Saccharomyces cerevisiae S288C: one gene and its partners. The protein of the gene in region 1 purifies or fractionates together with the protein of each later gene. This does not show direct contact. Each region holds a gene or a part of one and is shown in the gene's direction. Other genes may lie near its edges.

What was found. The genes of interacting proteins can lie anywhere in the genome.
Region 2: the proteins of SNU71 (region 1) and YHC1 purify together in Saccharomyces cerevisiae (affinity purification with mass spectrometry; 7 studies listed by BioGRID). This does not show direct contact.
Region 3: the proteins of SNU71 (region 1) and SNU56 purify together in Saccharomyces cerevisiae (affinity purification with mass spectrometry; 8 studies listed by BioGRID). This does not show direct contact.

The regions. Positions count from the first base shown.
Region 1 is NC_001139.9:512,644-520,214, forward strand, and holds SNU71 (Snu71p), read left to right. Parts: upstream 1-1,910; coding exon 1,911-3,773; downstream 3,774-7,571. Other genes in the region: nicotinamide-nucleotide adenylyltransferase NMA2, read left to right, coding at 1-89; MCY1 (putative cysteine synthase), read left to right, coding at 516-1,697; MSB2 (Msb2p), read left to right, coding at 4,300-7,571. UniProt on the Saccharomyces cerevisiae protein: Component of the U1 snRNP particle, which recognizes and binds the 5'-splice site of pre-mRNA. Together with other non-snRNP factors, U1 snRNP forms the spliceosomal commitment complex, that targets pre-mRNA to the splicing pathway.
Region 2 is NC_001144.5:723,529-727,118, reverse strand, and holds YHC1 (Yhc1p), read left to right. Parts: upstream 1-1,702; coding exon 1,703-2,398; downstream 2,399-3,590. Other genes in the region: ECM38 (gamma-glutamyltransferase), read right to left, coding at 1-1,050; YLR297W (uncharacterized protein), read right to left, coding at 2,686-3,075. UniProt on the Saccharomyces cerevisiae protein: Component of the spliceosomal U1 snRNP, which is essential for recognition of the pre-mRNA 5' splice-site and the subsequent assembly of the spliceosome.
Region 3 is NC_001136.10:942,482-946,883, reverse strand, and holds SNU56 (Snu56p), read left to right. Parts: upstream 1-1,731; coding exon 1,732-3,210; downstream 3,211-4,402. Other genes in the region: AMD2 (putative amidase), read right to left, coding at 1-77; YDR239C (uncharacterized protein), read left to right, coding at 3,464-4,402. UniProt on the Saccharomyces cerevisiae protein: Component of the U1 snRNP particle, which recognizes and binds the 5'-splice site of pre-mRNA. Together with other non-snRNP factors, U1 snRNP forms the spliceosomal commitment complex, that targets pre-mRNA to the splicing pathway.

The DNA.
Region 1 (7,571 bases):
CAAACTCTGTCATCCGTTACATCCAAGAGTATAATCTATACATTAATCAAAGTGAACCGGTCAAGCAGGTCTTGGATAGCAAAGAGTGAGTTTATTACAACTCTGATACTGCAGCAGTTCAAATTTACCACTTTCCTCTTCAAGGTGCATAGAAAAAAAGTTCCTGGATGCACGATTTAAAATGTTTACAGCAGAGCAACAATCATGTGAACAATGTCAAACATTTATTTTAACACTTAATAATTATAATATAACCACACCAGCGGTAAGTTTCATAAGGAAAACCTTTCAGACAAACATTCCAGTGAATCGTATACGTAAATCAGCAAAATTAGCTTATAAAATACAGAATCCGAAGATACTTGATCTACTCGCGTTACTATTAATGCGGGTAATGATCTATATTGAATTTTGCACGTCTATAGTAACTTAAAAGTCTTGTAATATTTGAAGTAACAATGCCGTATAATACTGCATAATAGCCCTATCAATCGGAATATACCAAAACATCCTTTATGTCCTGTTCTCAAAATAAGACTTCTGTCAGTCTGGCCTGGCGTGAATGCATATCCATCGCTTCCGTCCTAATTGGCGCGTATGCATCATACAAATACTATAAGCTGTTCAAAACACGCGATATTCCACGTCCAAAAGAAGGCGTTGAAGAACTCATAGGAAACACTCCTCTGGTTAAGATCAGATCTCTTACCAAGGCTACTGGAGTTAACATTTACGCTAAGTTGGAGTTATGCAACCCAGCAGGAAGTGCTAAGGATAGAGTGGCTTTAAACATCATAAAGACGGCTGAGGAATTAGGCGAGCTCGTCAGAGGTGAACCTGGCTGGGTATTTGAAGGAACAAGTGGGTCGACTGGTATCTCTATAGCAGTGGTCTGTAATGCGTTGGGTTATAGGGCACACATTTCTTTGCCCGATGACACATCGCTAGAAAAATTGGCATTACTAGAAAGCCTCGGTGCTACTGTTAATAAGGTTAAGCCCGCTAGTATTGTCGATCCAAACCAATACGTAAATGCCGCCAAAAAGGCATGTAATGAACTAAAGAAGAGTGGTAATGGAATAAGAGCAGTTTTTGCCGATCAGTTCGAAAACGAAGCCAACTGGAAAGTACATTACCAGACCACAGGCCCAGAAATTGCCCATCAAACTAAGGGAAATATTGACGCATTCATTGCTGGCTGCGGTACTGGTGGCACCATAACTGGTGTGGCAAAATTCTTAAAGGAAAGAGCAAAGATACCTTGCCATGTCGTTCTAGCGGATCCACAAGGATCTGGCTTTTATAATAGAGTCAACTATGGCGTGATGTATGACTATGTAGAGAAGGAAGGTACTAGAAGAAGGCATCAAGTTGACACTATCGTAGAAGGGATTGGGTTAAACAGAATCACTCATAATTTTCATATGGGCGAAAAGTTTATTGATGAATCAATACGAGTCAACGATAATCAAGCCATTAGAATGGCAAAATACCTATCGGTAAACGACGGGCTATTCGTGGGGAGTAGTACAGCTATTAATGCGGTAGCCGCTATTCAGGTTGCAAAAACGCTTCCTCACGGCTCAAACATTGTGATTATTGCATGCGACAGCGGTTCAAGACACCTAAGTAAATTCTGGAAAGAAGCTAAAGAAATCGATCACGACGTGTCATTAGAAGAAGTAATAAATATCTAACATAGATGTATAAATCAGTACTGAGTTATCTTCTATTAAATTGTAGGAACAAATATAAAAAAGCAGTTTTCGCTGCTACATTTTTTGCTACTTTCCGTGGTAATGATGCCCGCTAAAAAGTGCAAAAGTAATTAGATAGATCAAGAACAAAAACAGACCAGGACCAAAATCAAGCTCATAAAAGTTCCTTAAGAGTACGTCGATTTACAGAACATGAGGGATATTGTATTTGTATCACCGCAGCTGTATTTGTCATCACAGGAGGGTTGGAAAAGTGATTCTGCCAAAAGTGGGTTCATCCCTATCCTCAAAAATGATCTACAACGTTTTCAGGACTCATTAAAACATATAGTTGACGCCAGAAACAGCTTATCAGAGACACTGCTAAATAGCAACGATGATGGGAGTATACACAATTCTGACCAGAATACTGGTTTGAATAAAGACAAAGAGGCTTCAATAGCAGATAACAATAGTGCTAACAAGTGCGCCACAAGCTCTTCCCGTTACCAAGAGCTCAAACAATTTCTTCCCATTTCCTTAGACCAACAGATTCATACAGTATCTTTACAAGGTGTCTCTTCATCATTTTCTCGCGGACAGATAGAATCATTGCTAGACCACTGTTTGAATTTAGCGTTGACTGAAACTCAAAGCAATTCCGCATTGAAAGTAGAAGCTTGGTCTTCTTTTTCTTCGTTTTTAGATACCCAGGACATTTTTATAAGATTCAGTAAGGTTGATGAAGATGAGGCATTTGTTAATACGCTGAACTACTGCAAAGCCTTATTCGCGTTTATTAGAAAGCTACATGAGGATTTCAAGATTGAGTTACACTTGGATTTGAACACAAAAGAATATGTCGAAGACCGAACAGGAACTATACCGAGTGTTAAGCCAGAAAAGGCTAGCGAATTTTATTCTGTTTTCAAAAACATTGAAGATCAAACAGACGAAAGAAATTCAAAGAAAGAACAGTTGGATGACTCTTCCACACAATACAAAGTGGATACAAACACTTTAAGTGATTTGCCATCGGATGCTTTGGACCAATTGTGCAAGGATATAATAGAATTTAGGACAAAAGTTGTCAGTATAGAGAAAGAAAAAAAAATGAAAAGTACGTACGAGGAAAGTAGGCGTCAAAGACACCAAATGCAAAAAGTTTTTGATCAAATAAGGAAAAACCACTCAGGAGCCAAAGGGAGCGCCAATACAGAGGAGGAGGATACTAATATGGAAGATGAAGATGAGGAGGATGACACTGAAGACGACCTTGCCTTAGAGAAGAGAAAAGAAGAAAGAGACCTGGAAGAATCAAATCGTAGATATGAGGATATGTTACACCAATTACATTCCAATACAGAGCCTAAGATAAAATCCATTAGGGCTGATATCATGAGTGCTGAAAACTATGAGGAACATTTGGAGAAAAATCGCTCATTATATTTGAAGGAGCTATTACACCTTGCCAACGACGTTCATTACGACCACCATAGATCTTTCAAGGAGCAAGAGGAAAGAAGGGACGAAGAGGATAGAGCTAAAAATGGAAATGCAAAGGAACTGGCGCCTATACAACTATCGGATGGTAAGGCCATATCTGCAGGGAAGGCTGCCGCCATCACCCTTCCTGAAGGCACTGTGAAGAGCGAGAACTATAACGCGGACAAGAATGTGTCTGAGAGCTCAGAACACGTCAAGATCAAATTCGACTTTAAGAAGGCTATTGATCACTCAGTTGAAAGCTCTAGCGAAGACGAGGGATACAGAGAGAGCGAGCTACCTCCAACAAAACCCTCCGAGAGAAGCGCGGCAGAGGACCGTTTGCCATTTACAGCAGATGAACTGAACATAAGACTAACTAATCTGAAGGAATCGCGCTACGTGGACGAACTGGTGCGTGAATTCCTCGGCGTCTACGAGGACGAGCTGGTGGAATACATTCTTGAGAACATCCGCGTGAACCAGAGCAAACAGGCCCTTTTAAATGAGCTAAGGGAGACTTTCGACGAGGACGGGGAAACGATAGCTGATAGACTGTGGAGTCGTAAAGAATTTCGCTTGGGGACCTGAAACAGAAGGGCCTTGGCGCGCGTCCCAAAAGGGAAAGGCTCGCTCTGAAACAGGCGAAGACACGAAAACAAATTACCGTTTCGGGGCGTTTTGCAGCAAGTGGCTAGACACGTCGGGCGTTGCCAGATCAAAATAGCACCAGTGGGTGTTTTTTTACTATCTCATCTTCGTGCTGATATATATAACTTTTATACATTTCCATAGTACCAAGTTCTTTATTTCCTGCATTTTTACATTTATAATAGATTACCAAAACTATTCGACCTCACCAAGGGACCCCATAATATTGCTAAAATAATCTTACCTGTTTTTTACCATTTTTTTCTTTTTTTCCAGAAGTAATAAGCTCTCTCTTAGAAGAACTAAAAGCATCTGACTTCGGCTCGTTCCAACCGACCAAAATATTTGTGAAAATATTATTCATTCCTTTAACGACTTATTGTGTATTCTGTTCATCTCTAGCTGGCTTCCACCTCGTTTCCTATTTTTATTGACTTTTCATTAGGCTTCCTAATTATACCCATCTATGCAGTTTCCATTCGCTTGTCTCCTATCGACCCTTGTAATTAGTGGGTCATTGGCCCGGGCCAGCCCCTTCGACTTTATATTCGGCAATGGAACGCAACAAGCTCAGAGCCAAAGCGAGAGTCAAGGTCAAGTTTCTTTCACCAATGAAGCTTCTCAGGATAGTTCCACCACCTCTTTGGTAACAGCCTATTCTCAAGGTGTTCATTCGCACCAGTCTGCAACAATAGTGAGTGCCACAATCTCTTCCCTCCCATCTACTTGGTATGATGCGAGCTCCACTTCCCAGACTTCTGTGTCATATGCCAGTCAAGAATCCGACTATGCCGTTAATCAAAACTCTTGGAGCGCGTCTACTAATCAACTGCCATCTACCAGTACGACAAGCTACTATGCGCCAACCTTCAGTACATCGGCCGATTTTGCTGCTTCTAGTGTAAATGCAGCTTCTGATGTCTCCACTGCCAGTGTTCCCATTGATACGAGTGCTAATTCTATCCCTTTCACAACTACAAGTAACATAGAGACTACAACGAGTGCACCTCTCACTTCGGACACTCCACTTATTTCCACTAGTACGATGTCCGCAGCTGATAACGTATTTTCGTCAGCAAACCCTATTTCTGCCTCCCTAACAACCACCGATAGTTCAGAAAGTTTTGACCAAACTTCGACTGCTGGTGCCATTCCGGTGCAAAGTTCAGCAGATTTTAGTAGTTCTAGTGAAATTTTAGTACAAAGTTCGGCGGATTTCAGTAGCCCTAGTTCTCCAACTACTACCGATATATCGCTATCAGCTGCCCCACTGCAAACAAGTGAATCAAGCAGTTTTACCACTGCATCAGCAGCTCTACCAGTAAGTTCAACAGACGTTGATGGCTCAAGCGCCTCACCTGTAGTGAGCATGAGCGCCGCAGGACAAATAGCTAGCTCAAGCAGCACAGATAATCCAACTATGTCAGAAACCTTTTCGTTAACATCTACAGAAGTTGATGGTTCCGATGTTTCATCAACAGTGAGCGCATTATTATCGGCTCCTTTTTTACAAACAAGTACTTCCAACAGTTTCAGCATTGTTAGCCCATCGGTATCTTTTGTTCCATCACAGAGTTCCTCAGACGTTGCTAGCTCCAGTACTGCAAATGTAGTTAGTTCATCCTTTTCTGATATTCCACCGCAAACTAGTACCTCAGGGAGCGTAGTTTCGGTAGCGCAATCCGCATCTGCCCTCGCATTTCAAAGTTCAACAGAGGTATATGGTGCCAGTGCCTCGAGCACAATGAGTTCATTATTATCAACTACTTCGCTACAGTCTACTACTTTGGATAGCTCAAGTTTAGCTAGCTCCTCTGCGTCGAGTTCAGACCTTACAGATTATGGCGTCTCCAGTACAGCAAGCATACCGCTGTTGTCAGCCTCAGAACAAGCAAGTACTTCCAGCAGTTTTAGCGTTGTTAGCCCTTCGGTATCTTTTGTTCCATCACAAAGTTCCTCAGATGTTGCTAGCACCAGTGCTCCAAGTGTAGTTAGTTCATCCTTTTCTTATACTTCACTGCAAGCAGGTGGCTCTAGCATGACCAATCCCTCTTCATCAACTATAGTATATTCAAGTAGTACTGGCAGTTCTGAGGAATCCGCTGCATCTACAGCTTCTGCAACACTGTCGGGCTCCTCGTCTACTTATATGGCAGGAAATTTGCAATCACAGCCTCCATCCACTTCAAGTTTGCTTTCGGAGTCTCAAGCTACAAGCACTTCAGCTGTGCTAGCTAGCAGTTCTGTTTCTACAACTTCACCCTATACCACTGCAGGTGGTGCATCTACAGAGGCCTCATCCCTCATATCATCTACATCTGCGGAAACTTCCCAGGTAAGTTATTCACAAAGCACAACTGCATTGCAAACTTCCTCATTCGCATCGTCTTCAACAACAGAAGGAAGTGAAACATCTAGTCAAGGTTTTTCTACCAGCTCTGTTTTAGTTCAAATGCCTTCTTCGATTTCCAGCGAATTCTCACCCTCTCAGACGACAACTCAAATGAATTCTGCAAGCTCATCATCTCAGTACACTATATCATCCACTGGTATACTTTCTCAGGTTTCAGACACATCGGTGTCTTATACAACTTCAAGTTCGTCTGTTTCTCAAGTTTCAGACACACCAGTTTCTTATACAACTTCAAGTTCGTCTGTTTCTCAAGTTTCAGACACACCGGTTTCTTATACAACTTCAAGTTCGTCTGTTTCTCAAGTTTCAGACACACCAGTTTCTTATACAACTTCAAGTTCATCTGTTTCTCAAGTTTCAGACACACCGGTTTCTTATACAACTTCAAGTTCGTCCGTTTCTCAAGTTTCAGACACGTCAGTACCTTCTACAAGTTCCAGATCGTCCGTTTCTCAAGTCTCAGACACTCCGGTGCCTTCTACAAGTTCAAGGTCGTCCGTTTCTCAAACATCTAGCTCACTACAGCCCACCACTACATCCTCCCAACGTTTCACCATTTCCACTCATGGAGCGCTTTCTGAAAGTAGTTCTGTTAGCCAACAAGCTTCTGAGATTACTAGCTCAATCAATGCAACAGCTTCCGAATACCATAGCATCCAGACAACCGCGGCTACTCAATCCACAACTCTATCTTTTACCGACGCAAACAGCAGTTCTGCTTCCGCTCCATTGGAAGTGGCAACGTCTACGCCAACCCCATCTTCAAAGGCATCCTCTCTGTTGCTTACACCATCAACATCCTCTTTAAGTCAGGTTGCTACAAATACTAATGTACAGACGAGTTTAACAACGGAATCGACGACCGTTTTAGAACCATCAACGACTAACAGTTCCAGTACGTTTAGTCTGGTCACTTCAAGTGACAACAATTGGTGGATTCCAACTGAGTTAATCACGCAGGCACCAGAAGCTGCATCCACTGCATCTTCTACCGTTGGAGGAACACAAACTATGACTTTGCCCCATGCAATTGCAGCCGCGACACAAGTTCCCGAGCCTGAGGGCTACACCCTAATCACAATAGGGTTCAAAAAAGCTTTGAACTACGAATTTGTTGTATCAGAACCAAAATCATCGGCTCAAATCTTCGGATACTTGCCTGAAGCTCTGAACACACCTTTTAAGAACGTATTCACAAACATTACGGTACTACAAATAGTGCCATTACAGGATGACTCACTCAACTACTTAGTAAGTGTTGCTGAAGTATACTTTCCAACTGCAGAAATAGAGGAGCTGTCAAATCTAATTACCAACTCTTCAAG
Region 2 (3,590 bases), on another chromosome or scaffold:
GGCGCCCTTCCTAATTTTCATGGACAGTGGTTTAGTAACATGAACATCATACGATGAAACATCCTGCAAGTTCATTATTCCATTGTATTTTGCGACAGTATCAATCATGGATTTTGCAATCCAGTGATCGGGGTCATAAAATGGGGCCACGGAACCATTTTTAGCCAGTTCCATTAGCATGTTAGATAGTGCCGGCCTCTTGATCCAATCGCCTTCTTTCAAAACACCGTCATGGGTAGAATTCAATACAAACGACCAATCTTCCTTCAATGTCAGGAAAACATCCTCATAAAGTTCTAAAGTGGCACCGAGTGCTTCGCCTATTTGCCAACCCACGCTTCCCAGCTTTGCGACTGGTTCAATTAGATCACGCCAATCAACTTGGCCGCTACCTCTTTCTTTAAAGAGGCGATAGAGACCCATCAATTCACCTGGAACACCGACAGCAAGACCCCCTATTTTTGAGCATAGAGAGCAGTTTTCGAACATGAACTTATGTGAATCCATGGGTGCTTTTTCTCTAAAATCAATGGATAGATGATCTTCATCGTCTTTGCCAGAAAAAACTACGTAGCCACCACCTCCAATCCCACTATTAAAAAAATTCACCATACCCTTACAAAGAGCTTGTGTTACTGCAGCGTCTGCAGCGTTAGAACCGGGAAATTTCAGGAGTACCTCATTTATAGTCAAATTACTACAGACTTCTAAATCTGAACTTATAGCACCATGCAAACCGACTTTTAGAAGTTGCCTATCAGGCGTTAAACTAGGACGGCGAGGTAAAGGGTCAATATCGATGTTATGGTGATCCTTATCGCCGCCATCATCATCGTCGTCTTTTTTCAAATATTCTGCAATAATGTCAACATCTCGATTGGCAGACCCTCGAAGGAGATTATTTATTCTCTGCAAAGTCTCCTGAGAGGCGAATGATACCATTTTTGACGGCATTCCGGACACTAACACACCCAGTGTTAACAGAGTGAATATATGCAGTATAAAACAGGTATTTAAAGTCTTGGGGACTTTTCTATTACACAACAGCATAACTGTAAGTCTAGTACGCTACTTTTTGTCTTGTCTTTTTGTGTGCCTGACAACGCCCCACTTGAATCTGCGTTAGCTTTTTATTCTATTATTTAAGATAACTGTGCAACAGGAAGTCACGATCGAACTTTACGGAAGAATTATAATATTGAGAAGTGCTAGTACACACAGGCGCACACACACATATATATATGTATCTATATACGTGTATGTAGATTTGGAAGTCGAATAGATAAATGCCGTTATGTTCCCTCAGAGAAAATTGATAAGCGGGCAAAAGGCGGCACTAAGACGTTCGAAGGGGCGGATCTTTTCTTTTGATCAACAACAGGCACAGCCGCTGAGTAATATAGTTATGATTTTTCTAATCTCATGTAGGTAATAAAATCTTAAAAGTTATTTTTATTTTCACTCTTTTATATGTGAATAGAGACACTTGTATAGAGATAATAAACGGTTCAAACTCTTTTCACTTTCATATGTTCCACACAGTACCTTATCATTGAACACTAGATTTCCGCAAGTGTCAAGGTACATAGGCGGGTAAGCGTTAAGGATAACAGAAAATATTCTTGCTATACTGAAGATATAATATGAGCTCCTAGTGTAGGCGATGAAGGTGCTCAAGTAACGGAGAGGAAAGAGATAGGCAATGACGAGATACTATTGTGAATACTGTCATTCGTATTTGACCCATGACACGTTGAGCGTTCGTAAATCGCACTTGGTCGGTAAGAATCACCTTCGTATAACAGCTGACTATTATAGGAACAAAGCAAGAGACATTATTAATAAACATAATCATAAAAGACGCCACATTGGAAAAAGAGGCAGGAAAGAAAGAGAAAACAGTAGTCAAAATGAGACGCTAAAAGTTACATGCCTTTCAAATAAGGAGAAAAGACACATCATGCATGTGAAGAAAATGAACCAAAAAGAACTGGCACAAACCTCAATAGATACCTTGAAATTGTTATACGATGGCTCACCAGGATATTCCAAAGTATTTGTGGATGCTAACAGGTTTGATATAGGAGATTTGGTTAAAGCCAGCAAATTACCCCAAAGAGCCAATGAAAAATCTGCACACCATTCCTTCAAGCAAACTTCAAGATCCAGAGATGAGACGTGCGAGAGCAATCCATTTCCTAGGTTGAATAACCCAAAGAAGCTAGAACCCCCAAAGATATTATCACAATGGAGTAACACCATTCCAAAAACTTCTATATTTTACAGTGTAGATATACTGCAAACCACGATCAAGGAGTCCAAGAAGCGGATGCATTCCGACGGCATACGGAAACCGTCGAGTGCCAACGGATATAAAAGGAGGCGGTATGGAAATTAACGCTATCAGATTAGATTATTAAATATTATATGTAGACTATATTTTGCCAAAAAAAACAATAGAGATATCAACAACGAATGAAAATGGTATGATGAGAATAAAAAAAAAGGAAATAAAAAAAGGAAAATTAAAAAATTGAGATTAGTTGAATTGAAAAAGGAAAAAAAATGTTTGGTATGCGATAATTAATTGAATGTGCACGATCGTTACTATCATGAGAATTAAAATTTAAAATGTCCAACTTTCGGGCGTGAAGAGCGGTGCCATCTATTATATCTATTTTTATTTCATGCTTTTTCAGCAAGTGCTTGCTTTTCTTCATCGTTGGACTGTAGTTTCTTATCATTACTGCTGCCTGAACGGAGAGATATGAATATCATGCCAATCAACCCAAGTAGTAAAACTCCAACCACTACAATAATAAAAGATATTATGAAAACAGCGAGTATGTTTTCCAGTGGTTCATTATCGAGGTTAAAATTTGAGAGATCCGGGGTCCCAGAAACGAGTGTGTGCACATCTCCGCTTGCTTTCTCATCCGAATTTAAAATCTTTGTCAATAATTTAAAGATCTCATCCCCTATGCTATTCTTGACGCTATGATGATCACCACACATGGATTTGGAGCTTAGTAAGGCAATGTTCGATTGCTCATCGACAAAATCACCTTCGACCATTTTCTGTTTTTATATTTTTATCGTACGTAGTCTATAATGCAAAAAGAATAATTTGTTACTTGTGAGAGAGAAAGCGTACGTGTGCGATTGTGAGAATATGTAGATTATTACCACGATAGAGCAAAGAAGAAGGCTCTCCAAAAAGAATTAGTTATCTCACACTACCAACCGAAAGACTTCCTTAATATATATAAATTTAACACGGTCCTTATACGATTTCTCTTTTATATATTACTACTCTCAGGTATTTATTACTTGGTAACCAATTAGTAATACAGAAGGGAACTACGGAGTTTCTCTACAGACTTAACCCTTTTTTCCTTCTCCCAAAAAAATTTCCTTTTTTTTTCCTTTTTGTTTTTGTTTCTGATCTCGCAAAACTCATCTCTTTACTCTTTTCTGTTAAATCGGCCATTCTTGAATGGACGGGTATCTTTTTAAGCCGCAATACGCGTGCGCACTTTTCACTGGTTTCTCCAGACAGCCCCAAAAGAAAGCGCGCGGTGTTCTATTGT
Region 3 (4,402 bases), on another chromosome or scaffold:
CATTCGTCTTTTATCTTACTGTTCAGTTGATCTTTTTTTAATTGAACTTTTTCCTTCCACGTTGAGTGCACAGTCATTGTATAACTTTGGTACCGTGTTGTCTGTCGTTAATAACAGGTCAGAGCGGCTGTCCCTTCCACTCCCCATTGAAAAAAAAGTATTTACTCGACTATATATATGTAATACGCTTTTGAATACTAAAATAATGTTATCAGTAATCTTATCTATTATTATCATATTATCATATTATTAGCTATTATTATATCATGAGCAATTCGCGCGCGCGGCATTTGAGATAGCAAACTTAATCCGTCACACAGATAATACTACAAATTATGACACATAATACTCCCGGTACTCAATAATATCTCATTGTTCGGTCACGAATGTGTCATTGACTATCCAATAGAGAATCAAATACAACGACTACTGGGAACTTATCTCCAGAAAGCCGGCTAAAAGTAGGTGCTTGACATAAAAAAATCTCCCGGGGGCGAGTCGAACGCCCGATCTCAAGATTTCGTAGTGATAAATTACAGTCTTGCGCCTTAAACCAACTTGGCTACCGAGAGTCGATTTCTTGCGAGGTGTTGTATCTCAAAATGAGATACGTCAGTATGACAATACGTCATCCTAAACGTTCATAAAACACATATGAAACAACCTTATAACAAAACGAACAACATGAGACAAAACCCGTCCTTCCCTAGCTGAACTACCCAAAAGTATAAATGCCTGAACAATTAGTTTAGATCCGAGATTCCGCGCTTCCACCACTTAGTATGATTCATATTTTATATAATATATAAGATAAGTAACATTCCGTGAATTAATCTGATAAACTGTTTTGACAACTGGTTACTTCCCTAAGACTGTTTATATTAGGATTGTCAAAACACTCCGGTATTACTCGAGCCCGTAATACAACACGAGGGCTTGAAATATGTTTCTTATAATTAATATCAAACTTGTTTGGAGGTTCCTATGACAGCGCCTCATAACTCGTGTCATCTTTGTACTTGTTAGAGATTGTTGGGACAGATGAACATTAACTTTTCATAAGATATTACAATAGCAATATAAATACTTAAATGGTATACTATAGTTCTAATGGAATTCTAGCATCATCTATTTAGTAGTATTTATATTATTAGTATATTATCGCATACGGTATAAGAAGATGTAGTTTACTTGCTTCAAACCAGTGACCTGAGAAAGGGGTGAATAATTTGATGATTGTTGGGATTCAATCCTTGGTAAAGGTATAATATTATGAATGAATAATGTACTAGAAGCTCTCCCCGAGATATAAGAACCCGCAAAAGAGGATCGGTATTCTTACGTAATAATATTATAATCTCATCTTCCATTTTTTATGTGACATTATCCTATTACATCATGAGTTGTTGCATTTCCTCTTCCATTTGATGACTGTCTTTCAATCTTTATGTCATCTTCTTACACCGCATTTGATAATATACTACTAACACGAATGCTAATAAACAGATGATATTTTGGATTTTTACTCCAACATGATCTTTAATTACTTCTTCATATTTCTTATTCTCATGATTGCTACTGGTTTGTTGTAACCTTTTTTTTATTTGAGCTAGAATTTTCAGCGCGCATCGCAGTGTAGAAAACATTAAAGTTATATTATATACTATAGTAGAAGTTTGACGTTGAGAAACAGTTTCCCTTCGACTAATATAAGCAAAAAATATTAGTATCATGCGCCCAAGAAGGAGAGGATTAGCGTATCATCATACCAAGCCGAAGGGACAACTTTCACAAGGACATTATCCTACGACATCCAATGATGGCCAAAGAAGGAAGGTCGGTAATTCTGAAGCATTCCAATCTTTTGATATATGGAAAAACCTAGATAGGATAAGGTCGACTAAGAAGAATGCAGGGCAATTCATAAAAGGTAGTCTGCTCATACTCCCCATGAGAACGGAAGATAAACAACAGTTCGACGAGTGCATGGATGAATTGCATAAGTATATATCGAAGGATATATTACGATGTTATCCACAGAAAGAGCAGAAAGATGAAGGCATGCTTTTCTACATAGTTTTGAAGGACTTCAATATATTGGACTCTTGCTTCGTATTATCAGTTCTGCTTGCTTTCCAGAAGCGATTATGGATGGCACCATCCGAAAAATCATACTTTAGAGTTCCTAAGAATATTAACTTGACAGGTTCGTTTTATTTGCCCAAGAATATAGAAACTGGTAGAGGCCATATAATAACAAGCTATAGAAGAGAGCAGCCCTCATCCAGTATTGTAGAAGTTGGTTTCAATGTTGTTCCAGATTTTCAACAGTTTCAAGTTAAGGCTTGTCATGTAAGTAAGTTCATGAATGAGCTTTCTAATTTTTTTTCACAAGTAGAATTTGGCAAGTGTGAAGCTAACGTGATAAACTACTTTAAGCGTGAATATAACCGCACTTATTCACAGATATCACTTGCCCTCTACGAACTTCCATTAATTGGCGATGGCTTGTTTGATATAAAGTCGTACATTAGTAAAACCAGGCCAATTATAGAAACATCAAAAGCTCAAATGATTAAACATATTTCTGAAATGAAGGCATATAACGAAATAAGTGGCCTTCAAGGAGATCAATTTCCACGACAACAAAGACCTTTATCGAATTCGCCCTCTTCAAATTCAATTTCCTCTTCTCAAACTATTGAAGCAGGTGCAACTTCATATCAAACACAACCACAGAGACACGCTGTTAATAAGCCATCAAATGTATTGAATTCTTCCAATCGTCATTCCGGGCCAAAAACTTTTGAGGACGGAAGGTATAGTGAAGGTAATAAACCGGGTTTTATGACGCAGGATGAAATCAAACAACATTGCATTGGTACCATAAAAGCTTCTATGGATGCAGTGAAAAAGAAGTCTTCGTATCAGATTCTAAAGACATACGTTAGGTGTCCAAGACAAAATTATATTGATATTGTTTATCAAAATCTAAATGATCTACGATCAAAGACAAATTGTAATATCGTCGTATTGAATCTGAATAATCTTCACGAGTCACAAATGTGGCTTGAATCTTTAAATACAACAAATTACACTATTTTTGCTCAGGCGCCTCACCCAAGTACCATCCGCGTTATTAGTATTGGTGGAGTCGGTGAATATATAGTCAAAGCATTAGAGCTGATATTGAATATATTAGAACATTGAGTCGCATATAACAGTGGAGGTGTATAGATATATTTAAAAAACCTTTTGGTTATTTTTTCTCTTTCATGGCATTTGCTCCGTATGCAAAGCGATAGTTTAATTTAATGTTTTCTTTCAAATGTCATCGCGGATTCAAAGAGCGCACTATTATTATTTGGCAAAAGTTTAAGAGGGAAAATGTTGAAATAGCATGTTCTGCAAAGCGAATTACAGGTTTTGAAGGAGTCTACAGGTAAAGTCTAATAATACAGTGATGTTTGATGGCTTTAGCAACAATAAAGGTAAACGAAGGTCTTTTTTTCGGTTTGGTTCTGAAAGTAAAAACAATGACTCTGAAAAATCCGTTAGAAAGCCATCGGTGCCCTCTACAATAAAGAAATCAACAAATATCGCACGAACTTCGACGGCTGAAACTTCTGCCCCTGATATACCGCCAAGAAGTCCAAATAGGAATGCTCATAGCAGGAGCCATTCTATCCAGGCACCATTACAAAAGGAAACATTAAAGAATACTAATCCATTTTTGAATGCTGAGGATACCTTAGGAGATTCTCTTGAATTAACACAGTCCAAGGAAGCGTCAGGAAACGATCACAAAGGAATTGAATATTTACAAGAAAACAACATCATTGGGCAGAGAACCAACCCCTTCACAACAAGCGCAAATTCAAATGCACATTTCTCCAAGATAAAACGTTCGAGGCCTCCACCACCGCCTATGGACATGAAGTCAATAACAACGTCAATAAGCAACAATACTACTAAGGAAGAAATAGAGAGTAATAATGATTCTGAGCGGGATAGTATTGCAATCTCATCCACCCACAATCAACATAGGCGGCAGCGTTCAGAAGCAGAAAAGTTGGTAGATGATATTGAAAATTACATTAATGAACACAAGGTAAGTTCCGGTAGCTCACTATCCCTAGACACGTCTGAAAACTCAGATACTAAAGCATCGCAAGATAAGTTGCCAGTAGATGTCATGGAAGCTCCCATTTTGAGAAATGTCAGCGCGGAGAGTTCCTTAAGCTACGTAAAACCACTTATTGTGGATAATGAAGAAGTAAATAAAGCAAGTAACGGAAATTTAGTACAATCAGATCATCTAAAAGAATTTTCTTCGAATCTGGATGATGGGGATGATAAATTTTCCTTTAGTACATCGGCTAGTGGTAAATCCACCAAAAGC